Anolis sagrei: one gene and its partners. The protein of the gene in region 1 interacts with the protein of each later gene in a pairwise test. Links are inferred from orthologs where the notes say so. Each region holds a gene or a part of one and is shown on either strand. Other genes may lie near its edges.

Region 1 (10,454 bases):
CGTGTGCGTGTGTGTGTGTGTGTGTATATATATATATATATAAATCATATCTGCGCTCCATGCAGTCATGCCGGCCACATGACCTTGGAGGTGTCTACGGACAACGCGACTCTTCGGCTTAGAAATGGAGATGCGCACCACACCCCAAAGTCGGAAACGACTGGACTTCATGTGAGGGGAAAACCTTTACCTATATGTGTGTGTGTGTGTGTGTGTGTAGAGAGAGTGAGTGTGTGTATATATGTGTGTGTGTGTGTGTATGAGGGGGGGAGAGTATATATGTATATTACACACTTTCTCTCCCTCTAAAATATATATATATATCTCCATCCACTCACACACACACACTTTCCCTCTAATATATATACACACACACATACATACACACCAAAAAAGAGCCTTGTGGCTCCTCCTCGATTCCTCAAACCACTAAATCCACAACCTTTTAAATCAGGCTTCTTCCAAACGCTAAATGCAAAGCTACCATTCACAATCCAGCTTGCATCTACAGTGTAGAATGAATGCAATTGGACACCTCTTTAACCGCCCGGCCCAATGCTATGGAATGATAGGAGTTGTAGTTTGATAAGGGACCAGTACTCTGGCAGAGCAGGCTAATGACCTTGCAGAATTACAGCTCCCACTCAGGACGCCATAGCATTGAGTCGTGGTGGTGGAAGTGATGTCCAGGGGCAATGTAGATGCTACACCCATCGTTGTTTTAGCCTGGTTCCCTTTGCGAAAGGGTCAAGTACTGCTAGTATATACACCTCAGTTGTTTTCACAACTGTTAAAGCCCTTGATTTTAAAAAAGGTCTAAAAGATTTAGTGCAGGGTTTGTTTTCGGTTTTGCTTTGAGATATGCAGTTTGGGGATTGTTTTAGGTTTTTCCGGACTGTATGGCTATGTTCTGCTATTCTTGCTATGGTTTAATATTATGTGTTAATGTTTTTTTTAAATGTTTTATGGTGTTTTGGGGCCTCGAATCGTTGCCATTGTAAACCGCCCTGAGTCGCCTAAGGGCCGAGAAGGGCGGTATACAAATATAGTAAATAAATAAATAAATAAATAAATAAAAGAAGCATTGTCTCCTGATGTTTCGCCTGCATCTATGGCAGGCATCCTCGGAGATTGTGAGGTCTGTTTGAAACTAGGAAAATTGGGTTTATAGATCTGCGGAAAGTTCAGGGTGGGGGAAAGAACTGTTGTCTGTTGGCGGTAGGTGTGAATGTTTCAATTGCCCACCTTGATTAACTTTTGATGACCTGACAGTTTTTAGGTGTGACTTGTTCCTGCCTGGGGGAATCCTTTGTTGAGAGGTGGCCAACTGTTCCTGATTGTTTCTTGTCTGGAGTTCCCCTGTGTTTGAGTTTCTGAGGCAGTTTTTGCCTGACACAACCCTTGTGCGTGCTTAGGAGCCTTCAAGGGACATTTCAGATCGGGGATGATCTCATCCAAAGGGAAGGTTTTATGATCCTAGCCCTTGCTGTCTATTAATCTGGTGGAAGAGGATGGTGGAGGGAGAGAGTTCCCCAGGCTGGAGAGGGGAAATGCCCACCTCCAGCAACCCGTTCCCTAAGGACATTTTCCCCTGAATTAATCCCCCGCCTGAAGTTTTCCTTCATTCCTCAGATTTCGAGAGACACTTAACATCACTGACACCTAGAACTCTGTTGTGGTTTGCTGTCTTCGCGTTTTCAGAGTCATTTTGCGGGCCCTTTTCTCTGCATGCCTGAACGGTATTCCTAAATGCTTTTATTGACACGACTTTGAGAAACTGCAAGACGCTTCTAGCGTGAGAAAATTGGCCGTCTGCAAATAAGTTGCTCAGAGCACAACCGGATGCTTTACCATTCTGTGGGAGGCTTCTTTCATGTCCCGTATGGGAAGCTGGAGCTGACAGGCGGGAGCTCACCCCAACCCGCCCTGGTGTTTCTATGATGCTAGAAATGTGGTACTGGAGGATCCTCATTGAGGGGTGGAAACCTTCTCACTTGTGCCTGTCCCTCGAAGCTACACAACTAGTATTTTTAAATTTATTTTTAATTGGTGGGGCATGGGGGGTACCCATAAACACTGGGGGCTGAATCCACTCGCTCCTCCCAATTAAATGAAGACCGAAATGTAACCTCTGGGTTCAAACTAGAAACATAGAATCCTAGAATTGGAAGAGACCTCATGGGCCATCCAGTCCAACCCCTTGGCAAGAAGCAGGAAAATCGCATTCAAAACACCCCGACAGATGGCCATCCAGCCTCTGTTTCAAAGCCTCCAAAGAAGGAGCCTCCACGACACTCCCGGGGTTCTTCCTCATATTCAGGGGACTCTCCTTTCCTGTAGTTTGAAACCATTCTTCCGCTTCTGTTTAATCCCCCCCCCCCCCCCCGGGGTCAGGAGCTACTTGAGAAACTGCAAATGACTTCTGGTATGAGAGAAATGGCTGTCTGCAAGGACTACCCAGGGGATGCCCAGATGTTTTGATGTTTTACCATCTTTGTGGGAGGCTTCTCCCGTGTCCCCACATGGGGAGCTGGAGCTGACAGAGGGAGCTCATCCGCTGTTAAGCCGCTTTGAGTCCCCTTGGGGGAGATAAATAATGATGATGATAATAATAATAATAATCTGCGTTTGAGGATGCACCTTTAAGTCGCCTCTCCACCTCTCCTTTTCTACTACTGATAGTCTTTAGCAGATTTGGGAGGATGGTGATTCCATGAATTTCAAAAGACATGTCACAGATGGATTTGTTAGTGCCTTCTCCGCTCCGAGTCCCTTGTTGGGAGATGGGGCAGGGTATAAATAAAGTTTTATTATTATTCTCGCCTGGTTTTAATTGGCGATCTCCCCTCTAAGTATTAACCAGGGCCGCCCCTGCTTAGCTTCCAAAATCAGAGAGGATCTGGGCAAAATCCCATCCCTCCTCCCAGTTGGAGTGAATGGATAATAAGACCACTTATTATGCCAAAGCTGACGCAACCCATTGGCTTCATGGATCCTGCCGGGCGTGTGTGCCTACCAGTTGCCTGCCCATTTATGGCGACCCCGAGGATTTCCCTGAAATACAGCCTACAGTTACAAACACCCGACTTACAAACTACTCAGAGTTGAGAAGGCGACTGATTTTTTTTTCTCGAGTGTGATGAGAAATCTAGAGAAGAAATCCACTTAAAATCCGGTTTCTGCCTCCTGTAGAATTCTGGAGTTTGTAGTTTAGGGAGGGGCCTTTAACAGCCTCCCTAAACTACAAACCCCAGAATTCTGCAGGAGGCAGGAACCGGATTATAAATTGATTTTTTTCTCTGGTGTGATGAAGTGGTAGAGGAAGGGAAATTCCCTGCTGAAGCTTTCTCACCAATCCTTGTTTCCACAACAAGCCATTTTTTGCAAAACCCAATTGTCACAGGGACAGAAAGTGAAGTGAAGAGAGGCATTGTCCGTAGACACCTCCAAGGTCATGTGGCCAGCATAACTGCACGGAGCAGTCAACAAGCCATTTCCCCCTCCAAAAAACCCAGTTGTCATAGGGACAGAAAGTGCAGTGAACTCTGGTGAACAGAGGCACAGAGAGCAAAACATATATATTTGGCTGGAGTTACGCTTAAAAACTGTTCCTGTTCCGACTTATATACAAATCCAAGTTAAGAACAAGCTTATAGAACAGGCATGGGCAAACTTGGGCGCTCCTGGTATTTTGGACTTCAACTCCCACCATTCCTAAAAGCCTCAGGCCCTTTCCCCCTCAGCCGCATAAGCGAAAAGGAAAGGGCCTGAGGCTGTGAGGAATGGTGGGAGTTGAAGTCCAAAACTCCTGGAAGGCACCAGCTTGCTCATGCCTGCTACTGAACCTATCTTGTTCACAACTCAGTGGCTACCCATCCAACTACCAACCAAGGTCGGCCCTGCTGAGCTTCCAAGATCAGATAGGATTTTAGCCCCACTTACCTTGGTTGCGGAGGGCCTGTTGTCCCTCGAGGCAGCTGGGCAGGTAGGGGCCCTGGGGGAAGAGGCGCGCCTGGGCGGGGGGCGCCTGGCTGGAGGGCGGGGGCGGCGGCGGCGGCGGAGGGGGCGGGGGCGCCCCGTAAGCCCCATAGCGACAGGCGCCGGCTGTGCCCGTGAACTGTCCCGAGAAGTGGACGGTGAAGGCGCTGAGGCACTGCTCCTCGTGGGGGTCCGAGGCGCTCCAGCTGGGCTCCTGCTTGATGAAGGCTGAGGGGGGCGGCGGAGGATGGGGCGGCGGAGGGGGGCCGGCCAGCGAGCCGTAAGCGGCGCCCGAGGGGAAGTCCAGCACGGGGCCCCACTGCGCCGGCATGGGGCAGCCCCCGTTGCCCGGGGGAGGAGGCAAAAGCGCGTTGAGGTCGCGCACGTCGGAACCCATGGCCTCCGCCGAGCCCGCTTTGCGCCGCGCAGGGAACCACTCTCCGCCGCAGGAGGAGGAAGAGGAGGAAGGCTTGCCCCAGGCGCTGAGGGGCTCCGGAGGGAGGCACCAAGTTGAGGAAGAGGAGGAGGAGGTGGCGGCGCTGCTCGGGAGCCCCTTCGGGACGGGCAGCCCAGCCCCCGGGTCCAGCCCTGCCAGCGCCAGGGCGAGGTTGGCCTCCAGGGTCGCCCTTTGGGCCCCGAAGGAAGGAAGGAAGCAAGCAAGGCAGGCAGGGAGGGAGGCAGGGAAGCTCCGTGCTCGGGAGGCAGCAGGAGAGTGGCTTCTCCTCGCCGCGCCGGCTTTGCCCTCCGAGTCCCCAAAACTCCGCCAAGTGAGGCGGGGGAGGAGCCAGGCCCAGGCACGCTCTCTTCCCCCCTCCCCCCTCCTACGCGCGTGGGCGGTGACACGGCCTCCCCTCCAGCTCAAGGGCCGCAACCCGGCCACGGGACACCACGCTCTCCCCGCGCCACTTTCTCTCCCGGGGACTCAGGAAGCCGAGGGTGTTCAACACGGGACGCAGCACTCTCCAAATCCACCGATTCCCCCCCCCCCCCCCCACACACACACACGTCTCTCCCGCTCGGAATTCCCCTTCGGAATTGGGGTGGGATTCCCAAACGAAGCCTAGGCTAAGGCTGCCACTGCCTCGCCTGCTGAGAAGAGACAGTCTCAGGCAGGCATCCTCAAACTGCGGCCCTCCAGCTGTTTGGGCCTTCAGCTCCCAGAATTCCTGACCACTGAACAAACTCGTTAGGGTTTTTGGGAGTTGGAGGCCCAAAGAGGTGGAGGGCCGCAGTTTGATGATGTCTGATCTCAGGCTTCGGAGGCTGCTGAGGGGGAGGATAAATAACCCATCTAAGAGGGCTGAATGAATGAAAAGTAATGCCTCCGCCTTCGTAACTCCTCAACAGATGGCAGTACTTGTATGCGGCAGGTACTGGCTTGTTCAGTAGACTCTCCTATACAGTTCCATTTTGGCAGGAAGCCTTAGTGTTGATTGTTATGGTCGGTAAATGTGACTTAAGCAACGTGCAGTCTTGACAGCAGAAAGTGTCACCTCAACATCTTTAAACTTACTCGCCTAATGACGCACAGTACTCACATCAACACAATCACCATAAACAGCTTGCATTCTCTGATTAATCTTCTTTGGGGTGACACCTTGTGCTGTCAATAATTCAATGACTACTTAAGTCGTATTGACAGACCTTGGCGCAGGTTCCATACTTTGCACTTTAACAACACAACCGTTCAATGCTAAGGCTTCCCGCCAAAATGGAACTGTAGGGGAGAGTCTACTGAACGAGCCAGTACCTGACGCATTCCAGTACTGCCATCTGTTGAGGAGTTACGAAGGTTGGAGGCATTACTTTTCATTCAACCCTAGTACACTGCCAGAGAAAATCCAGATCATCCGCTTTGCACTGGATGGTATTAGTCATACTGCCATATATTCCAGTACACGCCGATAATCTGGTATTGATCTGGCTTTGTAGACGGGGCCATGGACTCCGAAGGTTTAGTGTAGGAAAGGGAGGACAGGAGTGTGGGAATGGGGTTTCCTCGGTGGAGGGTGAGTTAAATCTTGTAGACGGGGGAAATGCCTCTTGGGAAGGCACCCAAGGCTACTTTGCATGTCCAACCACAGGTGGAAATCCGGACAGTCGTACTGATCAAGATTGCTTCATCAAATTGGATTGTCCGCGTCCAACCTGAGCTGCATACATTAAGACTCCGTTCTTTTTACCTTCTACCTCAGAGGGGTAGGCACTGGGGCCTCTTCCCAAATCCCATCCTTTCAAAGTAAAAAATAAGAAGACCCCGCTTTCAGTGAAGCGCTTCACTGTTCTGCCAATGTGGATCCCATCTCTATAAACTGCGGAATAAGTATTTTAGGAGCTGGTGGGACTCATATGTTGCTCAAAGGATTGAGCTTCAATTAATTTCGCCCAGAGCCCGCAGTGGGGAAAGTCCCTTTTTACGAATGCCAGGGAGCCTTTTCCCCATTCCGTCCACCCGTGGCAACAAGAGCCTCGTAGAATGCTTTGAACAGCGTTGAATTGGAGGGATTTTCCTTAGTGTTCTTCACCAAACAACTATAACTTTCAGGGGATGGAAAATAACAATCGGGATTCAAGCCACTTCCGGAGCAATGGGTTCAACTCTTGTGCTGACAGGACTGAAGACTGACAGGTCAGAGGTTCGAATCTGTGGAGAGCACGGATGAGCTCCCTCTGTCAGCTCCAGCTCCCCATGCGGGGACATGAGAGAAGCTTCCCACAAGGATGGTAAAACATCCGGGCGTCCCCTGGGCAATGTCCTTGCAGACGGCCAATTCTCACACACCAGAAGCGACTTGCAGTTTCTCAAGTCGCTCCTAACAAGAAAAAAAAGGGCGGGCTGAGATTTGGCGCGGATCTGAATGAGGACTCTGGGAGGTCTGGGTTAACGTCTTCAACTTTGGAAACCCACCGAGTGGCCTTGGGCAAGTCACACTCTCTCGGCCCTTCTGAACAAATCTTGCCAAGGAAGTCTCTGCAACGTCTGAGTGCAAAAGTATTGAATTCGTGGTTTTACATGTGTGATATTGCCTACCATTCGGAATTTTAAACCATAGAAGACGTTATTTGAGAAAGTCAAATACTTTTTTGGAGGATAAGAACTCAAAGGCTCTAAACATTGTAAGCCCCGCTCTAGGGAATGCATCTACATTGTAGAGTTAACGCAGTTCAATGTATTGTCGAAGGCTTTCATGGCCAGAATCACTGGGTTGTTGTAGGTTTTTCGGGCTGTTATAGCCCAAGAACCTCACAACCTCTGAGGATGCTTGCCACAGATGCAGGCGAAATGTCAGGAGAGAATGCTTCTAGAACATGGCCATTAACTTTTCAACTCCCCGTGGCCCCATAGCATTGAGCCCCATGGCAGTTCAAATGAAGCCAAACTGCCTCAGTTCTAACGTGATGAGCCCAAGGTTGCAAGAACGCTTCTATGGCCTCATCGCACTAGAGAATGAATCTGCTTTAAATCTGGTTTCTGCCTCTAGCAGAATTCTGGGTTTGTAGTTTAGGGAGGCCTTTAACAGCCTCACTAAACAACAAAACCCAGAATTTTGCAGGAACAGAAACCGATTTAAAGTGGATTCACTCTCTAGTGTGATGAGTAGTAAATACAAGAAACTGGGAAATAGTGGGCAGAGAGAGCCTTTAGGTGGGGTGGTTCAAATGTAGACAACAGTTTACTGCAAATTCCTCGATGGAAAGGAGAGGCTCAAATGCCGGACAATGGGGAAAGGGGTTGAATTCAATTATTTAAACGTGCCTGAACCAACATTCATTTTAGGTTGGCTGTACTTGAGTTATCTGAAGGAAGAAATTTTAAAAAGAGGGAGGAAGGAAGGAAGGAAGGAAGGAAGGAAGGAAAGTGTCCAGTAAATGAGATTACCTCCTATCTAGAGCTCATTGAGATGTATTTATGCCAGCTCCTGCTTATTTGTTTCTCACCCACATAGAGGGTAAACCTTTGTGCCAGCAGAACTGCTGAACTAAAGGTCGGGGTCGGCTGTTCGAATCCGGGGAGCGGGGTGAGTTCCTGTCTGTCAGTTCCAGCTTCTCATGCAGGGACATGAGAGAAGCTTCCCACAAGATGGTAAAACATCCGGGCGTTCCCTGGTCAACGTCCCTGCAGAGGGCTAATTATTTCACACCAGAAGCGACTTCTAGTTTCCCAAGTCCCTTCCGACGCGATAAAAATTATTTAATTTTCTTCTGACATGTGTATTTTTCTGCTCCAGATTTCCCGATCTAGCAAAAAAAAAACAAAAAAAAAAACAAACATCTGGGCCACATCCATCCCTTTTAAAAAAATCATAGTTATGAAACTTTCCTCAGAGTAAACCGTTGTGGCAAACAGACCCTGGGTGCATTTCCACTGTTGTATGAATGCATTTGGACACCACTTTAACTGCCATGCCTGGATGCTATGGAATCCTGGGAGTTGTAGTTTTACACGATCAGGATTGCTGTGAATTTTCCAGGGCTGTATGACTATGTTCCAGAAGCATTCTCTCCTGACGTTTCGCCTGCATCTATGGCAGACATCATTAGAGGTTGAGAGGTCTGTTGAAAACTAGGCAAGTGGAGTTTATATATCCGTGGAAAATCCAGCCTAGTTTTCAACAAACCTCACAAGATCTGAGGATGTCTGCCACAGGTGCAGGCGAAATGTCAGGAGAGAATGCTTCTAGAACATGGACATACAGCCCGGAAAACTTACAGAAACCAGTGATTCCAGCCATGAAAGCCTTCGACAGCACATTTTTACAAGATCCTTAGCAGAAGAATTCTGGAGCCCCAGTTGCCCTTGTGCGTCAGAAGTTTGAATCCAGGGAGAGTGCGGATGAGCTCCATCTGTCAGTTCCAGCTTCCCATGCGGGGACATGAGAGAAGCCTCCAACAAGAATGGTAAAACATCAAAACATCTGGTCATCCCCTGGGCCAGGCCCGTAGCCAGGATTTCGTTTCGGGGGGGGGGGGGGGCTAAAAAATGTCAAGGGGGGTTTCGGGGGATGGCTGAGTTTTGGGGGGGGGCTGAGTCTGAGTGAAAGAGGGTCTACCTAGCAAACGTTTTGTATCATTACCCCAATACCCCCATGCATATGGGATATATTGAGTATGGTGATCAGATCATGATATGAATAAACATAACAGTTTAAATAATGCACCAGTAAGGCCTTTTCGCGAACCACCATGAGAATTTCGGGGGGGGGGGGGGCTGAAGCCCCCCGAGCCCCCCCCCCCCCGGCTACATGCCTGCCCTGGGCAACATCCTTGCAGACGGCCAATTCTCTTACACCAGGAGAGACTTGCAGTTTCTCAAGTAGCTCCTGACAAAAAAAGTACAAACCCAGGATTCCAAAGAGTCATAGCAGTTAAAGTGGTGTCAAACTGCATCAATTCCACAGCGTAGATGTGGATGGCGACAAGTTTGGCATTCACCCACACATTTTCCTGTGAAAAGGCCCGTGGAAGTGGGTGAGTCCCACTTGTGACTATTGCGAGCCTGAAGATGGCAGGCTGGGCTGTTTCTAGCATCTGGCTCCGATGACAGCTCCGAGCAGGGGGAAGAAAATCCCAGTGCCATAAACTTACTGGTGTATGTTACAGGAGAGGAAGCAAAAGGTTGCAAATCACTCTTCTGGTGTCACTTGCAATTTTTCAGCGAGTATTAAAGACCCCTCGTTAACAGAGCACTCTCTTGGGGACCGGGTTCCTTGGTACATCAAAAGGGCAGCATCTACAATTTCAGGATGACCTTATCACCACAATAACATCCACAATTCATGGAGAAATGTTCCCTCTCCCCCCCAAAAAAGAACACCAGTGACAGTTTATGCACGCGGAATGTTTGGTAGTCATTTTTCCTTTGCTTGTTTTAAGCATATGTGAGATATTGTACTGCCCTGAAATTTTAATTCGGCTGATGGGTTTATAGTGTCCACGGATGCATCTACACCAGGTATGGGCAAACTCGGGCCCTCCAGGTGTTTTGGACTCTAACTCCCACCATTCCTCACAGCCTCAGGCCCCTTCCTTTTCCCCCTCAGCCGCTTACGCATCTCCCCTAAAGTAAAAACTCCCCTAAAGCAATAACACTGTCGTCCTCGCAGTATCAAACCACCACTCCATGTTATCAACAGGTGAGATTATTTTTCCCAGGTCAAAAGGAAAGAGTGCCAAATCGGGCCTCTTTTCCTCCAAAGAGAGGCGCTTCGCTTCAATGGGAAACGAGAAAGGGGAAAGATTTTTGGGGGGGGGGGGGGGGAACAACTCCATCTGACATAGAAGACCAGAGACATATTTCATCTTGAGGCAAAGAACAAAATGGGTTGCTGTGAGTTTTCCAGGCTGTATGGCCATCTTCCAGAAGCATTCTCTCCTGACGTTTCGCCTACATCTATGGCAGGCATTTTCAGAGGTTGCCCCTAGTTCTATTCCTGCACATCTACACTGTAGAATTAATACAGTTTTAACTGCCATGG
Region 2 (10,465 bases), about 190 Mb from region 1:
TGGCTGTACTTATGTGTTTCTCCAAATAATTCCCCAAAGCTCCTTTTTCTTTTACTATCATTTCTGTTTCTTAAAAGTCACTCAAATCTGATGACACATTTAGTGGAGTTTCAACTTACAATTAAGGTCTGTGTATTTTCCCTCCAGAGCTTGTACGTATGCTTCATACTGCTTCCACCTAAAGAATTGAAAAAATGTTTCTAACTTTTGATGTTGAAGTATGATGCACACGTCAACATATAAGAATGCTTTCAAATACACATCATAAAATTCATTACAAAAACTGTTTACAACCAAGTATTACGAACTATATGTGATCTCAGAATTAAGAATACATAAACTGAAACATATTACTGTATTTTTGTTTGCCAAAAATCTGACCACACATATTACTACCAATAACAGAGTATAGAAGATATAATATGGAATGAGAAGTGTTTTTACATGGTTTGGCTGATTTAGTGTTTCCTGAAGAAGGCTGCTGTTGACAGGAGCTACAAATGTTCTGGTTTTGTCTACCTGATGACAATCACAATTTCAACACAGGACCCATATACTCAGATTTCAAAGTGAAAATTCTGAGATTTTGGAACTTCCTACTGAGGGAGTAAGACCTGACTTGCTATCACCCAAAGCAGGTTTAGATAGCAGGAAAATCACTTAGATCTTTAATAACAGTGGGCTTTTTGTCTGTTGATAGGCACTGTACTTTTTTTAAAAAAATGTTATTGTGAACATAATGAATTTGGACAGAAGTGGACATAATTCTATAAATCAACACTGCCTAAATAACTTCAAGACTGAATGTTATTTTGAACTTGGTTCTACTTTATTCAAAATAGGAACAAGATAGTAAGAAAAGTACTGTTTCACCCATTACTTTACCTTAAGATCAACTCCTCTCTAGGGAGAACCTTGAAGTCTGTTTCACTGAGGCGAACCTAAAGAACAAAAACAATAACTTTCAATACTTTCCCCCTGATATTTTATGAAGAGATGAACAGGCACACATATGTCTAAAAACTGTAATTACCTTCTTTGGAAGTGGTTCTTCGTTAGTCATTGTGGATTCTGTGAAAAAGGAGACACTAGCATTACTTGGTCTTTTTACAAAGATAGTAAACATCTGCACACCACATTAAAAATTAAAACTTCACTCCCACTACTCTATAACTTATTGTAAATAACCAATGTACATATAAGAGGGTTGAGGGTGAGAGCTTGTTTCCCAGCACATTTCAAGTGTTTAGGTTAAATTTAAATAAATAATTTGAAGGTCTACATCAGTGGTTCTCAGCCTGTGGGTCCCCAGATGTTTTGGCCTTCAACTCCAAGAAATCCTAACAGCTGGCAAACTGGCTGGGATTTCTGGGATTTGTAGGCCAAAACACCTGGGGACCCACAGGTTGAGAACCACTGATCCACATGAACCTAAAGGATTCTTTTAAAATTCTGTACTCTTTAAACATTTGTCTATAAGCATACTGTATATGATGGTATGTATGGTAACAAAAATAAACAAGTTATTAAATACTGAAGGTCCTTCGAGACTTTTGGCCCATCCAATATATGAGATTGAGAATACATTTCCATATCCAATAAATTTTATTTTGTTTTTTGCTGCCCAAAGTATTCCTTAGTATATATTAATTATCTATTATCCAACTGCATATGCAGAAATGAATACATCCTACTGCGATTCAGGGAAATCACATCCAAAGTTTTCCCAGTTCTTTAGAAAATGTTTTAAGGATGTTCAAGATGAGGGAGGGAAGAATGCTACAGTGGAATGGGAAATTAGATCCACTTCCAATTTTGTTAATAGAATCTGATTACTTGTCCACAAAAGGCCAGTAATATTTTTTATCTAAACACTATACTTTCAAAAGTCTTGTATTCAAGTAAAGACTGGTTATTCCTAAAAGAGATCTCTAAATTGCAGAATGTTGCTTGTGCGGTAGCTTTGTGGAAGCCTACCTTTGTTTATAGTAAATTAAAACCACCCTATATTACTCTACTTCTGTTTGGCATGTGAGGCAAGGCAACAACGAATAGAAGATTCTCTGAAGTAGATATATATGGTACATAAAAGAGAAGGGAAACCTTCTCTTTTAAGCAGCATCTTTCCTGGTTGTGGACAGGCACAACTGGATATAACTTTGAAAGCCTACTATCTCTGAATGCAAAAGTAGTCATTTAGTGCAGAAATAATATTTTATTAACCCCTTTTTATTACATTGACTAACAAAACTTGGTTGTCAGTGTTACATTGCTGATAAGTGAGCTAACTGAAGTGTATGTGGTCTCTACTTATCTGATGCTATTAAGCCACATATGTCAATCTCACAGGTCCAACGAACACTGCAACTTGTTGAGTGCAAAAATACTGTATTGAGACTAGACTGCTTTTTCAATATACTATTCTTATTTTTAAAAAAATCCATACCCAAAAATCTGATCTACGCTTAGCATCCCTCTCCAAGCAACACAACAATCCTAGGCATGGTGTCTTGGCAGTATTAAAATGCTACATTACATAAATGCATATTTGTTCATTCAGGTGTATCGTAAACTAATACCATTGGTCTGTATAGGTGCAGCATCAAGGCACAGGTAGTTCTATATATGAATGGCTGGACTTGTATTATATATTTGTATTAATATGTAAGCACTAGTCCTTTAATGTGAGTGCAAGCTGCCACAAGCATTACATTTAGGGCTGCCCACTGAAGAAATATTTTCAGTTATGGTAGGTAGAGACTTTAAACTGCAGGCTGCATGTCTTGTCAGATAAACATAGCATATACTAACCTGGAATCTGAAACATAATTTATCTGTAAATGTCAAGAAATGATCAGGGATTGTGTACACCTGATATTTGAAACGGCCTTGGACCATGATTTTTGGATTATGTGATTTTACCATTTATATTAATATGTTTTTAACTCCACATTTTAATGTTTAAATGTGGTTACATATTTATGACCAAATCAATAGTTACATGTTATTGTTGTTTTAGGTTAGGTTTCATATGTATGTGAGGCATTCAATTTTGCCATAAATAAGTTGGAAACCACTTTGAGTCCCTCCCTGGGGTGAGAAAGGCAGTATACAAGTCAAGTAAGTAAATAAATTACAATGAAAATTGCTTAGTCTGAAAGAAAGCCTAAAGACCACCCTGGGTTTCTTTAAATACTATTTTTATGCATTATTTGCTGGCAATGCAGCTATTACTATTTAGATATTAGACCAGGGCATGGGCAAACTTGGGCCCTCCGGGTGTTTTGTTGAAATTCAACCCCCACAATTCCTAACAGCCTCTGGCCCTTTCCTTTTTTCCCCTCAGTCGCGTAATCATAATATGAACACTGGATTTAGTATCCCAATAATAGCCTCCTGCTTGAAACTTGGTCGGGCAAAGGATGTCAGTGGGGGAAAGATTAAATGGGTCCCATCTTTAAATGAACGTCTGAACACAACCCAAGCTGTCATTTCCTTTCTGGCTAATAAAATACGGCCATTCGGGCCTTTGCCTGAGTAAGCACACAGCAAGATCACTATTTTAAAGAAAACTGGCAAACGAGGGTAACTCTTGATTCCCAGATAAGCCATCCACACGGCCTTTATTCGCAGAAGCATAAAACTCAGGCGCTGCGTGGGTCCAAATCGTGGCACCAAGAGATTCTCGCAAAAGGCTTGTTCGTATAGGCTTTTTTAAAGGTAACTGGCGTTCTTTGGATGTCGATGGCAAGGCCGAGGCGTAAGGCCCTTTCCCCTCCATCCCTATCGCGCTAGTAAACAAGCCTGTGTTTTGCGGGAAGCGGAAGAAACGCTTCCGGGCGTGGCGGCCTCGGGCCCTCCAAAGAGGAGGGTGGGCGACGCCGCAGGAGCGCCAGAGCAGAGCCCCCCCCCCCCCTCTCCCCAGCCTCCATCTTGCGAAACGGTCGTCTTTTCCTCCCTGAAGCGTCGGGCCTTCATTCCCCCCTTCCTCACCTCAGTGGAGGCGGCGCCGCGAAGGCGTCCTCGTCCTCACTCGTCGTCTCCCCCTCAACCGACTTCCCCTGAGGCAGGGTTTCTCTGTCGCATCAATGAGCCGGAAGCCTCGAGGCAAGGCTTCTTCTCACCCTCCCGGTTGGGGGGGGGAGGAAGAGGGGGGGCTGCAGCACCGCACGCGCTTCCCGCCCGTTCTTATATTTGGGGCTCCTCCGCTGCGCTACAAAATGGCGCCGGCGAGAGCGCAACGAGAGGAGCCGCCTCGCCCCTTCCGCGCCTCGTCCAATCAAAAAGCAGGAACCGCCGGCAGCCCTCAAAGCGGGCCTGGCCCCGCCCCTTCGCTCCCTCTGCCTGCGCGCGCTACTCCCCCCTCCCCTCCCCAGCCCCGCCCGCGCGCCGCCTCGCGCCACCTCCTCCTCCGCACTTACCGGCCCAGCCAGCCACCAACGGACGGGAGTCCTTCGTCTCGCGCTCTTCCAGGCCGCCGCCCTCCTCTCCCCTTCCCCCGCCCTGCGTCCTAACAGTGTTTGAGTCAAGGCCTTTGACTCCCTCTTGCGCTCGGCACTGAGAAGGGGAAGTAAATAAGATTTGCAGAGGGGGAGGGGGGAGCCCCGGGGGAAAGGCGTGATGCGCGCCTCTTGCTTCCCTCCTCGCGCCCGCCAGAGTGCGCACTCGCAAAGCATGCTGGGGCGCTGAGGGAAGCGGCGGAAGGATCCGCAACGGGCCATCTGGCCACCTGCAGGAGTAAACACCAGAAGCGCGGAGGGATATCAGTCCCGTCTGCCCTGGGAGGAATCTTTTGGCTGCCGGAGAAGGGCTGTTGCCTGGATTCATAGTGCATGCAGTACCGGGTTTAAAATCAGAACCATTGAGTTGGAAGAGACCTCGTGGGCCATTCGATCCAGGCCCCTGCCAAGAAGCAGGAAAATCACATTCAAAGCCTCTGTTTAAAAGCCTCCAAAGAAGGAGCCTCCACCATACTCAGACGCAGGGAGTTCCACTGCTGAACAGATCTCGCAATTAGGAAGTGCTTCCTAATGTTTAGGCCATAGCTGTTTGGAAGTGGCCCTAGTCTCTAGAGTAGAAGAAAATATGTGATATTCTTTCAAATATTTAAAAAATGATTATCAAGGATGCTTGCCATAGATGCAGGCGAAACCTCAGGAGAAAATGCCTCTAGAACATGGCCATAGAGCCCGGAAAAACCTACAACAACCCGATTATCAAGTATTTTCTTGGCCTTCTTTTCTTAAAGCATAACATACCCAACACCCTAAATTTCATAGGGCTTGATTTCCAAAGGCATTCTTAATCCATTCCTGATTACCTATGTAGTGCTCACAAAGTGGTGGTTTCTTGGTATTAACATTTTGTTCACATTGCTTTAACATTTTGCTTATAACCAAGGTGAAAGAACAAAGTGCAAAAGCTGGGTTGCAGTTAAACAAACAAAAAAAACCCCAAGATTATGGCTGATTGATAACAAGCAAACATGGAGGCAGTGACAGACTTTGTATTTCTAGGAGTGAAGATTACTGCAGACTGCAGCCAGGAAATCAGAAGATGTTTACTTCTTGGGAGGAGAGCAATGACCAATCTCGACATCACATTGGCAATGAAGATCCACATAGTTAAAGCAGTGGTATTCCACATAGTAACCTATGGGTGCAAGAGCTGGACCACAAGGAAAGCTGAGTGAAGGAAGATAGACGCTTTTGAACTGTGGTGTTGGAGGAAAATGCTGAGAGTGCCTTGGACAGCAAGATCAAACCAGTCCATATTCCAGGAAATAATGTCCTGCTGCTCACTGAAGGGAAGGATATTAGAGGCAAAGATGAAGGACATTGGGCACATAACGAGAAGACAGGAAAGCTTGGAGAAGAGTATGACTCTGGGGAAAATGGAAGGAAAGAGGAAGAGGGGCCGACCAAGGGTAAGGTGGATGGAGAGTATCCTTGAAGTGACTGGCTTGACCTTGAGGGAGCTGCGGGTGGCAACAGCTGACCCATGAAGTCACAAAGAGTTGGAAGCAACTGAATGAATAAGCAACAAAGTTCAGAAGTATTCCTGGTTGTAGATTTACTAACTACTCTAAATGTTTCACTTGATGACACAAGCACTTCACCTTAATTTGGCAGTTAATCATAATCTACAGAAGCGATGTAAGTTTATCATGACTACTATGCATTTATTTATGAGTAAATTTTTAATTATCTGTGGTCAATAATGTGGGAATTATCTCAGACTGAAGAAATAGAGCTCAAGGAGAGAAACAGTAGCTTGTCAAAAGCCTGTTTGCTCAGCAAACTAAATTTCACAACAGAAAGTACTGTTGAGGCAAGCCTGTCCTAACATGTTGCCGTTGCATTTAATCAACATTGAAAGAAAGAAGAGAAAGTGACAGCATGATTACCCACACACATTTCCTAATCAAAACTATTCTAATCTAATACCTTAGCAGCCTGAAAGCCAAAACCAAGGTTACAACATCTGTTATAGAACTCCAGTATGCTGATGACAACGTCATCTGTGCATTCAGAAGAAGATCTACAAGCCACTCTAAACACCTTCGCAGAAGCATACGAGAAGCTTGGCCTGTCATTGAACATCGAGAAAACCAAAGTGCTCTTCCAGCAGTTACTGGCCAATCCCTCTCCAATGCCAGAAATACAGCTTAATGGCGTAACATTAGAAAATGTTGACCATTTCTGCTACCTTGGCAGCTACCTCTCCACAAAAGTCAACATTGATACTGAAATACAACACTTTCCTGAGCTCTGCGAGTGCAGCATTTTTCCGAATGAAGCCTAGAGTGTTTGAGGACCAGGACATCCGTAGGGATACCAAGGGGCTTGTTTATAAAGCTATTGTCCTCCCAACCCTGCTATATGCCTGTGAGACATGGACTATCTACAGATATCACATGCAACTCCTGGAACAATTCCATCAGCATTGGCTCCGAAAAATCCTGCAAATCTCTTTGGAAGACAAGTGGACAAACGTCAGCGTGCTGGAAGAAGCAAAGACCACCAGCAATGAAGTGACAGTCCTCCACCATCAACTCCACTGGACCGGCCACACTGTCCGGATGCCCGACCACTGTCTCCCAAAGCAGTTGAACATCTCTCACAGTCAGGAAGTTCTTCCTTATGTTCAAGTGGAATCTCCTTTCCTGTCATTTCCTGCTCCTAGTCCTAGTTTCCAAGACAGCAGAAAACAAGCCAGCTCTCTCTTCTTTATGACATCTTTTCACTTATTTAAACATGGCAATAACGTCTTTTTTCAACATTCTCTTCTGCAGACCAAACATGCCCAGCAATTTAACTTGAGAGAGTTTCCATTTTAGACTGTGGCACTCAGAATACTCTTTCCAATGCCAGAATCATGAATGGCTATGCTAGCTTTATAATCCCAAGGATACCTCTTCAGCATTCGACACGTGAAGACTGAACACTGTAATAAAGCCAGAAGCCAGCTCAACCCCAGTGTCTACTGCGGCATCAATGACAGCAGGCACACTGTAGGGGGTTCATCTACCAAAATTATATATGGCAGCCTCCTAATATTTCTTTTCTGCATAGTGGGGATGAAGGGGCAGAGATCCAAAATACTCCTTAAATCCAAATCCGAAATGCAGGAGTCCCCTTTCCACTGGAGAGGGCTTGGAAGGACACCACGGAAGTTGGATCTTAAAACTGCAAAAAAGCTGTTTATTGTGTGGCCATACACCCCAGAGTCCCGTATGCACACATACGTGGCAAACTTTCAGTGCCATTTAGGCACAAAGCTATATAGACAGACACAGAAGCAGTTTAACATTCCAGCTTTCTGGCTTCATGAGGGTATGCTCGATTCTGGCCACAGCGGGGAGCTGCCGCTTCACCATCCACTTGTGACACTGAATCCTTTATGGAGTACTTCCTCATTCCTGCACATACTGCTGGAAGGTTTTATGGTGTTGTAAATTAGTTAAATTAGCCTCCCCGCATAAAACGGTACCTAAATTTCCTACTTGACATATGCAACTGTCTTTCGGATTGAAGAGTGGGTGGGCAGGGGACAGTTCCATCCTGTTGGTGACCCCTCCCCCAAGCACCAACTGCCGCTCTGGGCCAGAGTGAAGAGAGGGGGGCCCAGGGGACAGTTCCACCTTGTCTCTTATGCTATGCTAACCATATAATATAATGTAATATAATATAATGTAATATAATATATCTCCAGCAAAGGATCGTGGCGCTGGAGCTTGAGCACCTCAATGATGTCATGAGCGAAACCGTGAAGGGCCACCCAAGACGGGACGGTCAAAATGCTGCTGGGGAGGAGCAGAGGATAAGTTCAACTAGCCTCAGATGTGACGACGCAGCTAGCTCAAAGCCGAAAGGAAGGCTAGCGCCGACGGTACTGGAGGTGAACGACGAATCCGATGCGCTAAAGATCAGCACACCATAGGATCCTGGAATGTAAGATCTATGAGCCAGGGCAAATTGGATGTTGTTATTGGTGAGATGTCAAGACTAAAGATAGACATTTTGGGGGTCAGCGAACTGAAATGGACTGGAATGGGCCACTTCACATCAGATGACCACCAGATCTACTACTGTGGACAAGAGGAACACCGAAGAAATGGAGTAGCCTTCATAATTAATAAGAAATTAGCTAAAGCAGTGTTTGGATACAACCCAAAAAATGACAGAATGATCTCAATTCGAGTGCAAGGAAAGCCTTTCAACATTACATTGATCCAAATATACGCCCCAACCACAGCTGCTGAAGAAGCAGAAGTAGATCAGTTCTATGAGGATCTGCAGGACCTACTGGATAATACACCAAAAAGAGACATTATTTTCATTACAGGAGACTGGAATGCCAAGGTGGGAAGTCAAATGACAACTGGGATCACAGGCAAGCATGGTCTGGGAGAACAAAATGAAGCGGGGCGCAGGCTGATAGAATTTTGCCAGGAAAACTCGCTGTGTATAACGAATACTCTCTTCCAACAACCTAAAAGACGGCTTTATACATGGACCTCACCAGATAGTCAACACCGAAATCAGATTGATTACATCCTTTGTGTATAACGAATACTCTCTTCCAACAACCTAAAAGACGGCTTTATACATGGACCTCACCAGATGGTCAACACCGAAATCAGATTGATTACATCCTTTGCAGCCAAAGGTGGCGGACATCCATCCAGTCGGTGAAAACAAGACCTGGGGCTGACTGTAGCTCAGATCACGAACTTCTTATTCCTCAGTTTAGAATAAAACTAAAGAGAGCAGGGAAAATACACAGACCAGTTAGATATGATCTCACTAACATTCCTAGCGAATATACAGTGGAAGTGAAGAACAGATTTGAAGGACTAGATTTAGTAAACAGAGTCCCAGAAGAACTATGGACAGAAGTCCGTGACATTGTTCAGGAGGCGGCAACAAAGTATGTCCCAAAGAAAAAGAAAACCAAGAAGGCAAAATGGTTGTCTGCTGAGACACTGGAAGTAGCCCAAGAAAGGAGGAAAGCAAAAGGAAACAGTGATAAGGGGAGATATACCCAGTTAAATGTGCAATTCCAGAGGTTAGCCAGAAGAGATAAGGAACTATTTTTAAATAAGCAATGCATGGAAGTGGAAGAAGACAACAGAATAAGAAGGACAAGAGACCTCTTCCAGAAAATTAGAAACATTGGAAGTAAATTTCAGGCAAAAATTGGTATGATAAGAAACAAAGATGGCAGGGACCTAACAGAAGCTGAAGAGATCAAGAGAAGGTGGCGAGACTATTCAGAAGATCTGTATAGGAAGGATAATAATATCGAGGATAGTTTTGATGGTGTGGTGAATGAATTAGAACCAGACATCCTGAAGAGTGAGGTTGAATGGTCCTTAAGAAGCATTGCTAACAACAAGGCAGCAGGAGACGACGGGATCCCAGCTGAACTGTTTAAAATTTTAAAAGATGATGCTGTCAAGGTGATGCATGCCATATGCCAGCAAATATGGAAAACACAAGAATGGCCATCAGACTGGAAAAAATCAACTTATATCCCCATACCAAAAAAGGGAAATGCGAAGGACTGCTCAAAATTCCGTACAGTGGCCCTTATTTCTCATGCCAGTAAGGTAATGCTCAAGATCCTGCAAGGAAGACTCCAGCAATACATGGAGCGAGAGTTGCCAGATGTTCAAGCTGGGTTTAGAAAAGGCAGAGGAACGAGAGACCAGATTGCCAATATCCGCTGGATAATGGAGAAAGGCAGGGAGTTTCAGAAAAACATCTATTTCTGCTTTATTGACTATTCTAAAGCCTTTGACTGGGTGGATCATAATAAATTGTGGCACGTTCTTGGTGGGATGGGCATACCAAGCCACCTTGTCTCTCTCCTGAGGAATATGTACAAGGACCAAGTGGCAACAGTAAGAACTGACCACTGAACAACCGACTGGTTCAAGATTGGGAAAGGCGTACGGCAA
Region 3 (10,361 bases), about 250 Mb from region 1:
TCTCTGCCCTTTTCCGATACCGCCACCATCTCAATTTCTAAACGCATATACTTTACTGGAATTCTCATGCCCAAACCCTAGAAAAAAACCAACAGGTAGTCCAACCCGCATGGTAAAGAGGTCAAAACTCTTCACCTGGTTTAAGTGTGCTGTGAGAAACAGAAGCTATTAAAGTTTAGTTAAAACCAGGAGCTTAGGTTTAATGAAGCAGCAGTAAAGGCTGCCAGTGAGCTGAGCATCAATCATCTCATTCAAGGCTGGAATCAATTCCCAAATAAAATACAGCATGCATAAAGCCCTCACTCTCTCCCCAAAAATAATAACATGCTTCTTCTACTCTAAGACACCATTAATTGTAAGACATGCACTAATTTTAGTAACACCAAGAGAAAAAGCTTTTATTATATGTAAAAAAAGCAGCCATGATTCTAAGATGCATCCCATTTTAGAGGGTTTTACATGAGGAGAAGCATACACCTTAGAATCGAGGAAATACAGTCATAATTATTTCAGCAATTTGGCTAAAGACTGCTTAAATCAAGAAAAAAACAACTGCTCTTCAAGGCCATCAAGACAGAATACATTATCTTCCCTCTCCTAACAGAGACAAAAATGTGCTTTCTTCTGCAGCAGAAAAGAAGTATCCACCACAAATCATCTACCATCACTCAAAACCAAGTTCTGGAAATGTTAACAGTCAAAACCAAGACACTTTGCTGATGTTATTCACACAGCACTGAGTAGACATACAAACCGAGTGTGTCCCTGCTTGACTTTTCTCATACCCTGAGGGACGGCAACCTTGACCTACGAAAGAACCGATCTGTTGGGAAACAATCCTGTCCGTCAGACTGAGATGACTCTCCCTGGCTGAGTTTCATGTTATCTGGGCATCCGCGACAAGAGCCCAGCCTCTCCAGATGGCTGGGAGAATCCAAGACAATGATCATACCTTCCTTTTTGTTTTCCCTTTCGGAGCAATTAACCTAGAAGAAGAGCCACCGCCATCCCCTCTCTTTCCGTCTCGCGCGATGCAGAAAAGAGCAATCACAACTTAATAATGTCAGATTTTGCAGGCGGGGAGGTGGGAGGGAAAGAAACCAGCTCCTTCCTGTACAGGAGAAGAGCCTTCAAAGTGAGTTAAGAGGCAACAAGGAGAGTGATCTTGAGCAGGCGCCCAAAAGAGACGTTTCCTCTCCATCTCTTTGCCCGACAGCATTCATTTCAAGGGGAAAGAGAGGGTGGGAGGGAAGGAGGGAGGCAGCCAGCCGCCTCCTTGTCTTTTAAAACTTCCCCTGCAAAAAATTGCATGCATGCATACGTAATAGATAGAACAAACCTTACAAAATAGATAGTCCAAAAGAAGTCTCATCCACAGAGTGGAAGAAAATAACCCTTTTGTATTCTATTCCCTGCAAATACATATAGAGAACAGAAAATAAAACGGATAGTTCAAAAGAAGCCTTCATTCTCAGAGAGAAAGAGAACAAACCTTTCCCTGCAAGTGGATTTATATTATATTATGTATATATCCAACAAAATAGCTAGTTCAAAAGAAGTCTCCTTTCTCAGAGAGGAAGAAAAACAAACCTTCCCCTGCAAGTGGATTTATATTATATTATATTATATATCCAAAAAATAGCTAGTTTAAAAGACATCTCCTTTCTCAGAGAGGAAGAAAACAAACCTTCCCCTGCAAAGGGGATATAGATAGAGATATGATTATATAGATATAGATGATAGATAGATATACCATAAATACATATCCCACAAAATAGCTAGTTCAAAAGAAGTTTCTATTCCTCAGTGAGGAAGCAAATAAACCTTCCCTTGCAAAGGGGATATAGATAGAGATATATGGTTATATATCTCTATCTATCTGTCTATTATAGATATAGATATATTATACTATAAATACATATCCAACAAAATAGCTAGTTCAAAAGAAGTATCTCTTCCTCAGTGAGGAAGGAAACAAACTTTCCCTTGCAAAGGGGATATAGATAAAGATATATGATTACATAGGTATAGATATATTATACTATAAATATATATCCAGCAAAATAGCTAGTTCAAAAGAAATATCTCTTCCTCAGTGAAGAAGCAAACAAACCTTCCCCTGCAAAGGGGAGAGATATAGATATGGATAGATAGATATAGATATAATATACTATAAATATATATCCAACAAAATAGCTAGTTCAAAAGAAGTATCTCTTCCTCAGTCAGGAAGCAAACAAACCTTCTCCTGCAAAGGGGATATAGACAGATATATATGATTATCCCTCTCTCTCTATATATATATATATTGCTGTATATATATATAGTATAATATATCTATATATTATATAGATATATTATACTATATATATACAGCAAAATAGCTAGTTCAAAGGAAGTATTTCTTCCTCAGTGAGGAAGCAAACAAACCTTCCCCAGCAAAGGGGAGATATATAGATATAGATATAATATACTATATATATATATAGAGAGAGAGAGAGAGCGTATTATACACACACACACATATATAACTACAGTGCAGATAGATATAGATGTATTATACTATAGATATATATTCCACAAAATTGCAAGTCCAAAAGAAGTCTCTCTACCTCAGTGATGAAGAAAACAAACCTTCCTGTGCAAAAGGGATATATTGATAGATATAGAAATATTATACTATATCTTCTTTCTAAGCTATTTATCCAACGGAAGGGTTAGCATAGATATATTATACTATATCCCATAAAACAGCTAGTTCAAAAGAAGTCTCTCTACCTCAGTGATGAAGAAACAAACCTTCCCCTGCAAAGGGGATGTATATATACTATAGATAGATTAAACTCTCTCTAGATATCTATATCCCACAAAAGAGCTAGTCCAAAAGAAGTCTCTCTACCTCAGTGATGAAGAAAACAAACCTTCCACTGCAAAGGGGATATATAGATATAGGAATATTATACTATATCTTCTTTCTAAGCTATTTTCCCAATGGAAGGGTTAGCATAGATATATTATACTATATCCCACAAAACAGCTAGTTCAAAAGAGAGGAAGAAAACAAACCTTCCCATGCAAAGGGGATATATTGATAGATATAGATATATAATACTATATCTTTTTTCTAAGCTATTTTCCCAATGGAAGGGTTAGCATAAATATATTATACTATATCCCACAAAACAGCTAGTTCAAAAGAGAGGAAGAAAACAAACCTTCATGTGCAAAAGGGATATATTGATAGGTATAGATATATAATACTGTATCTTCTTTCTAAGCTATTTTCCCAATGGAAGGGTTAGCATAGATATATTATACTATATCCCACAAAACAACTAGTTCAAAAGAAGTCTCCTTCTTCAGAGAGGAAGAACACAAACCTTCCCATGTAAAGGGGATATATTGATAGATAGATAAATATAATAAGCTATTTTCCCAATGGAAGGGTTAGCATAAATATACTATACTATATCCCACAAAACAGCTAGTTCAAAAGAAGTATCTATTCCTCAGTGAGGAAGCAAACAAACCTTCCCCTGCAAAGGGGAGATATATAGATATAGATAGATATACATATAATATACTATATATATCCATAGAGAGACAGTATACTATATAGATAGATGGATATAGATCACACAAAATTGCAAGTCCAAAATAAGTCTCTCTATTTCTGTGAGGAAGAAAACAACCCTTCCCTTGGTTATATATCTCTATCTATATTATAGATATAAATATATTATACTATAAATACATATCCAGCAAAATAGCTAGTTCAAAAGAAGTATCTATTCCTCAGTGAGGAAGCAAACAAACCTTCCCTTGGTTATATATCTCTATCTATCTATATTATAGATATAAATATATTATACTATAAATATATATCCAGCAAAATAGCTAGTTCAAATGAAGTATCTCTTCCTCAGTGAGGAAGCAAACAAACCTTCCCCTTCAAAGGGGATATAGATAGAGATATATGGTTCCCCCCCTCTCTCTCTCTCTCTCTCTATATATATATATATATATAGATATAGACATATTATACTATAAATTTATATCCAACAAAATAGCTACTTCAAAAGAACTATCTCTTTCTCTTGCAAAGGGGATATAGATAGAGATATATGATTTATATATAATAGATATAGACATATTATACTATAAATATATATCCCACAAAACAGCTAGTTCAAAAGAAGTATTTCTACCTCAGAGAGGAAGAAAACAAACCTTCCCCTGCAAAGGGGATGTGTATATAGTATAGATAGATTAAACTCTCTCTCTATATCTATATCCCACAAAGAGGAAGCCTCTCTTCCTCAGAGAATGAGGAAAACCAACCTCTTCTTGTCCTTCCTCCCCAAAACTCTGTTGACATTTCCCCACAAAGTCACTTTGGGAAGGAGCCACTTTCTTCCTTCCAAATCTCTCCTGTTTCTTTCCCTTTTCCTCCAAAATCTCCTTTCAGAAACAACTCTTGATTTTCTGCCCTAGCATAAGATGGGCCTCACCTGGAGCCTTCTTCTGGAGCCCTGAAGAGGAGAAGTTGAGGGGAAGCTTCCCTGCCCTCAATCAGACCAGCCTGACTGCCTTTGTCTGCCTGACAAGCGCCATGTTGATATCAACATCCAAGCTCCCACCTGCCGCCGCGGGGAGGCCCTGGGACTTGTAGTTCCGCCTCCCCCAGGGTGCAGGCGCCAAGTCGCCGCTGGGAACTACCCATCCCGGCATGCCTTGCGCCGACGCTGATTAGACGGCGGTTGGAGGAGGGAGGCGGGGAGGAGGGAGTAGAGACTACGCTTCCCGGCGTGCTCTGCTGCTGGCAGGACAAGATGGCCGCCCATGACTTCATTCTCCTGAATCATTAGGAGGCTGAGAGAAGGACTACACTTCCCAGGATGCTTCGGGAAGCACTTCCGGTTGGGAAACAGGAAGGAAGAGACTGCATGCCACAAACAGAGCCTGGGGTGAAGCATGAAGCTGGTGAGTCTGGGAGGACTTTGGAGGAAGTTTTAAATAGTAATAATAATAATAATTGTGCGATGTGTGATCCAGTACAACTGTGCAGGTACAGTTGTACCAGGAGCTCCAATTTTGTTTGCTTTGCACAGAATGTTTGTTGTAGTCCTAAGTTTCAGGGACTCTGCAGATAGGTGGCTTCTTTTGGCTGCAATCATAGGGCAAGCCACCTGTCAATTATAGTTAGGTTCCCTGGCCCTGCCCCCTTTTTGGGTTTTGTAGGGAATTATGCTGGGGAAAGTGGAAGGCAAAAGGAAGAGGGGCCGACCAAGGGCAAGATGGATGGATGGCATCCTTGAAGTGACTGGACTGACCTTGAGGGAGCTGGGGGTGGTAATGGCCGACAGGGAGCTCTGGCGTGGGCTGGTCCATGAGGTCACGAAGAGTCGGAGACGACTGAACGAATGAACAACAAAGGGAATAGGAGTCATTTGGGATTCAGTCCACACAGAGAAGCCTTTCGTGCAGGACGTAATACCAAGAGCTCCTGTAGAAAGCTTAGTCTTCTTCGTCTGATGAAGGCAGAACCCGGAGCAGGGCATCCCCAGACGATCTTAAAGTCCTAGATGGTTCATAAGGGAAGATGCATTCGTACAGGTAAATTGGACCAGAACCATTTAGGGCAGGGGTCCTCGAACTTTTTAAACAGAGGGCCAGATCACAGTCCCTCAAACTGTTGGGTTATTGATGTCACCCTACCAGGAGACAGTCACATTGAGGAAAAACAATGAAAAACAGGAAAACTCAGCCGTGATCAGGACCTCAAAATTGAATGGCAAGGGCTCTGGCGAAAACCAGTACAGGTGATCCCAGTGGTCATTGGCACACTGGGTGCTGTGCCAAAAGATCTCAGCCAGCATTTGGAAACAATAAACATTGACAAAATCACGACCTGTCAACTACAAAAGGCCACCTGACTTGGATCTATACGCATCAATTCGAAAATACATCACACAATCCCTGGTTCACCGAGGAGCTGGCAGCGATGAAGCGAAGGAAGAGGGAACTAGAGAGTGTGTGGCGTTCGGATCCGAGTGAGCCAAATCGAACACGGTTTGTGTCCTTTTTAAGGGCATATGCCGCGGCAATAAAAGCCGCAAAGAAGGCCTTCTTTGCGGCTACTATTGCGTCTGCAAAGAACCATCCGGCTGAGCTGTTCCGAATTGTCAGAGGCCTTTTAAATCCCACCACTCAAGGTGGGAACCCTGACGATTCGACTTCTCGCTGTGTAGCTTTTGCTTAGTTCTTTGCAGACAAAGTCGCTTTGATCCGTTCTGGTCTGGATACCATGTTAATGGCAGTCTCTGAGGATGTAACATGAGCACCTGCTTGTCCAGTTTTGATGGATTCATTTCAATTGGTGAAACCCGAGGATGTGGACAAGATACTTGGAGGAATGAGGCCAACCACATGCATCCTGGACCCCTGCCCATCCTGGCTTCTAAAGGAGGCCAGAGGGGGATTGGCTGAGTGGGTTAAGGTGGTGGTTAACGCTTCCCTTCGGGAAGGCAAGATTCCAGCGAGCTTAAAACAAGCTATAATAAAACCGCTGTTGAAGAAACCATCACTGGACCCCACTAAATTCGACAACTATCGGCCAGTTTCCAATCTCCCCTTCTTGGGCAAAGTCTTGGAACGTGTGGTGGCCTCACAACTCCAAGTATTCTTGGTAGACACGGATTATCTAGACCCGGCACAGTCTGGCTTTAGGCCGGGGCATGGAACTGACACAGTCTTGGTCGCCTTAGTGGATGATCTGCGCCGGGAGCTCGACAGGGGGAGTGTGTCCCTGTTGGTGCTGCTGGACCTCTCAGCGGCCTTCGATACCGTCGACCACGGTATCCCTCTGGGACGCCTCGCGGGGATGGGTCTTGGAGGTACTGTTTTGCAGTGGCTCCGGTCATTCCTGGAGGGTCGATCTCAGAAGGTGTTGTTGGGGGACACCTGTTCAACCCCACAACCATTGTCTTGTGGGGTTCCTCAGGGCTCAATATTGTCTCCCATGTTGTTTAACATCTACATGAAGCCGCTGGGGGAGATCATCCGGAGTTTCGGGGTACGGTGTCATCTGTACGCGGATGATGTCCAACTCTGTCACTCCTTTCCACCTGCTACTAAGGAGGCTGTCCAGGTCCTGAACCGGTGCTTGGCCGCTGTGACGGTCTGGATGAGGGCGAACAAATTGAAATTGAATCCAGACAAGACAGAGGTCCTCCTGGTCAGTCGCAAGGCCGAACAGGGCATAGGGTTACAGCCTGTGTTGGATGGGGCCGCACTCCCCCTGAAGACGCAGGTTCACAGCTTGGGTGTGACCCTGGACTCATCGCTGAGCCTGGAACCCCAGGTTTCGGCAGTGACCAGGGGAGCATTTGCACAGCTAAAGCTTGTGCGCCAGCTGCACCCATACCTTGGGAAGTCTGACTTGGCTCTGGTTACATCCCGTTTAGACTACTGCAACGCTCTCTATGTGGGGTTGCCTTTGAAGACAGCTCGGAAACTCCAACTAGTCCAACGCTCGGCAGCCATGATTTTAACAGGAGCGGAGCGCAGGGAGCATACAACCCCCCTGTTGCGCCAACTCCACTGGCTACCGATCTGCTACCGGGCTGAATTCAAAGTGCTGGCGTTGGCCTTTAAAGCCCTAAACGGTTCTGGCCCAAGCTACCTATCTGACCGCATCTCTGCCTATGAACCCACCAGGACTTTGAGATCTTCCGGGGAGACCCTGCTCTCGATCCCGCCTGCTTCTCAAGCTCGGCTGACGGGGACGAGAGATAGGGCCTTCTCGGTGGTGGCTCCTCGGCTGTGGAACGCCCTTCCTACGGACATTAGACTAGCACCATCTCTAATGGTATTCCGCAAAAAGGTGAAGACCTGGATGTTTGTGCAGGCGTTTGAGTAATTTAGTGCAATCTGGTAATGGAACATAGGAATGGAACAATGGACGACGAACCTGGACTACGCTTGGATGATGAGAAGATTGGGTACGGTTGTTTTTCGTAATAATTGTGCATTGTAATTGCTTATTGGTAATTTATGGATAATGTGTTAAGTCAATTGTTATATGTTGCATGGCACCACTGCTGTTTCTACTGTTTTTACTGTTTGTGAACCGCTGTGAGTCGCCTTCGGGCTTGAGATACAGCGGTATAGAAGCAAAGTAAATAAATAAATAAATAAATCCCAGACGCTTGGGAAATGTTTGACTTGTGATTTTGTGATACGAAATCCAGTTTGCTGTGACATACTGTTTTTGTGTCAGTAAAATAATAAAAATAATAAAATATGGGAGGAAGAGATGATAATAAATAAATAAGGTCAATATAATAATATAATAATAAAATGTGGGAGGAAGAGATGATTCGCACACACACACACCTCCCTTTATATTTCTGTTTTTAATTTTGCAACTCCTGCCCCTTTTGGTGGGATGAGTTATAATTTCAAGCACCTATCCCAAAAACAGCAGGAGACGACGGGATCCCAGCTGAACTGTTTAAAATCTTGAAAGATGATGCTGTCAAGGTGATGCATGCCATTTGCCAGCAAATATGGAAAACACAAGAATGGCCATCAGACTGGAAAAAATCAACTTATATCCCCATACCAAAAAAAGGGAAATGTGAAAGACTGCTCAAACTTCCGCACAGTGGCCCTTATTTCTCATGCCAGTAAGGTAATGCTCAAGATCCTGCAAGGAAGACTCCAGCAATACATGGAGCGAGAGTGGCCAGACGTTCAAGCTGGGTTTAGAAAAGGCAGAGGAACGAGAGACCAGATTGCCAATATCCGCTGGATAATGGAGAAAGGCGGGGAGTTTCAGAAAAACATCTACTTCTGCTTCATTGACTATTCTAAAGCCTTTGACTGTGTGGATCATAATAAATTGTGGCAAGTTCTTGGTGGGATGGGCATCCCAAGCCCCCTTGTCTCTCTCCTGAGGAATCTGTACAAGGACCAAGGAGCAACAGTCAGAACTGACCACGGAACAGGAGACTGGTTCAAGATTGGGAAAGGTGTACGGCAGGGTTGTATACTCTCCCCCAACCCATTCAGCTTGTATACAGAACACATGTGCGGGGCTTGAGGAATGCAAGGCGGGATGAAAATTACTGGAAGAAACATTAACAACCATAGAATAATAGAATCAAAGAGTTGGAAGAGACCTCCTGGGCCATCCAGTCCAACCCCATTCTCCCAAGAAGCAGGAATATTGCATTCAAATCACCCCTGACAGATGGCCAGCCAGCCTCTGTTTAAAAGCTTCCAAAGAAGGAGCCTCCACCACACTCCGGGGCAGAGAGTTCCACTGCTGAATGGCTCTCACAGTCAGGAAGTTCTTCCTCATGTTCAGATGGAATCTCCTCTCTTGTAGTTTGAAGCAGGAAACAAGCTTGCTCCCTCCTCCTCCCTGTGACTTCCTCTCACATATTTATACATGGCTATCATATCTCCTCTCAGCATTCTCTTCTTCAGGCTAAACATGCCCAGCTCCTTAAGCCGCTCCTCATAGGGCTTGTTCTCCAGACCGTTGAAGAGATGATAATAAATAAATAAATAAATAAATAAGGTAAGTATAATAATATAATAATAAAATGTGGGAGGAAGAGATGATTCACACACACACATATCTCCCTTTATATTTCTGTTTTTAATTTTGCAACTCCTTCCCCATTTGGTGGGATGAGTCTTAATTTCAAGCACCTATCCCAAAAACAAGCGCCTTTCCAAATGAGCTTTTCCATCCAAGGTCCGAAAAAGAATATTTTCAGCCTATTGGTGGCAAAGGTACGAAACAAAAACATGAAATAAACAAATGAGACAAATACTGGGCCCATGACTACTCTTGAGGTTCCAAGAGCCCTAGCCAGCTTAGACTATAACAAGTAGTTACAGTCCAAGAATATTTGGAGGTCTGCATAACTCTGTCTCCTTTTCTACAGCCTCATCATAAACAGATAGCATCCAGGAGCGGTATATTTCTATATGTGGGAAAACTTTCCTTAACTTCACTCTCACCCTCTTTGTATTGCAGGGTTTTCTCTTTCATCCACACCACACCTTAATTGCTTTACCATTAAATATACTGGTATAATGAGAATCTCTGAAGTTTCTCCAGTAAGTGCTGGAGAAACTCGGACCTGGCATTCTTCTTCCTCGGTCCTTTATGTTTTTCATGGTGGGTAATGTTTTCCCACTTAGCAAAATTGCAAGGGCTGTAGGAGCATCAATAGTTTAAATGGTTGCGTGACCATGCCTCTTTTCTTAAGGGGATCCCCAAGCGCCTGCCAACTGAAAGGCTCTAAATGAACACTCATGCTTATGGAGATTTTTAAACATTA

The links.
Region 2: the proteins of WT1 (region 1) and WTAP interact in binary tests that used the Homo sapiens proteins (3 or more experiments, as listed by UniProt). The link is inferred for Anolis sagrei from reciprocal best matches to the Homo sapiens genes WT1 and WTAP.
Region 3: the proteins of WT1 (region 1) and HMBOX1 interact in binary tests that used the Homo sapiens proteins (3 or more experiments, as listed by UniProt). The link is inferred for Anolis sagrei from reciprocal best matches to the Homo sapiens genes WT1 and HMBOX1.

The regions. Positions count from the first base shown.
Region 1 is NC_090021.1:257,605,899-257,616,352, reverse strand, and holds the start of WT1 (Wilms tumor protein), read right to left. Parts: upstream 4,772-10,454; 5' UTR 4,376-4,771; coding exon 3,943-4,375; intron 1-3,942. UniProt on the Homo sapiens protein: Transcription factor that plays an important role in cellular development and cell survival. Recognizes and binds to the DNA sequence 5'-GCG(T/G)GGGCG-3'. Regulates the expression of numerous target genes, including EPO.
Region 2 is NC_090021.1:68,270,088-68,280,552, reverse strand, and holds the start of WTAP (pre-mRNA-splicing regulator WTAP), read right to left. Parts: upstream 4,668-10,465; 5' UTR 4,422-4,667; intron 4,264-4,421; exon of another isoform or gene 3,994-4,263; intron 1,072-3,993; 5' UTR 1,064-1,071; coding exon 1,034-1,063; intron 942-1,033; coding exon 886-941; intron 179-885; coding exon 120-178; intron 1-119. UniProt on the Homo sapiens protein: Associated component of the WMM complex, a complex that mediates N6-methyladenosine (m6A) methylation of RNAs, a modification that plays a role in the efficiency of mRNA splicing and RNA processing.
Region 3 is NC_090021.1:8,090,765-8,101,125, reverse strand, and holds the start of HMBOX1 (homeobox-containing protein 1), read right to left. Parts: upstream 4,668-10,361; 5' UTR 4,512-4,667; intron 1,045-4,511; exon of another isoform or gene 953-1,044; intron 1-952. Other genes in the region: INTS9 (integrator complex subunit 9), read left to right, coding at 4,975-4,983. UniProt on the Homo sapiens protein: Binds directly to 5'-TTAGGG-3' repeats in telomeric DNA. Associates with the telomerase complex at sites of active telomere processing and positively regulates telomere elongation.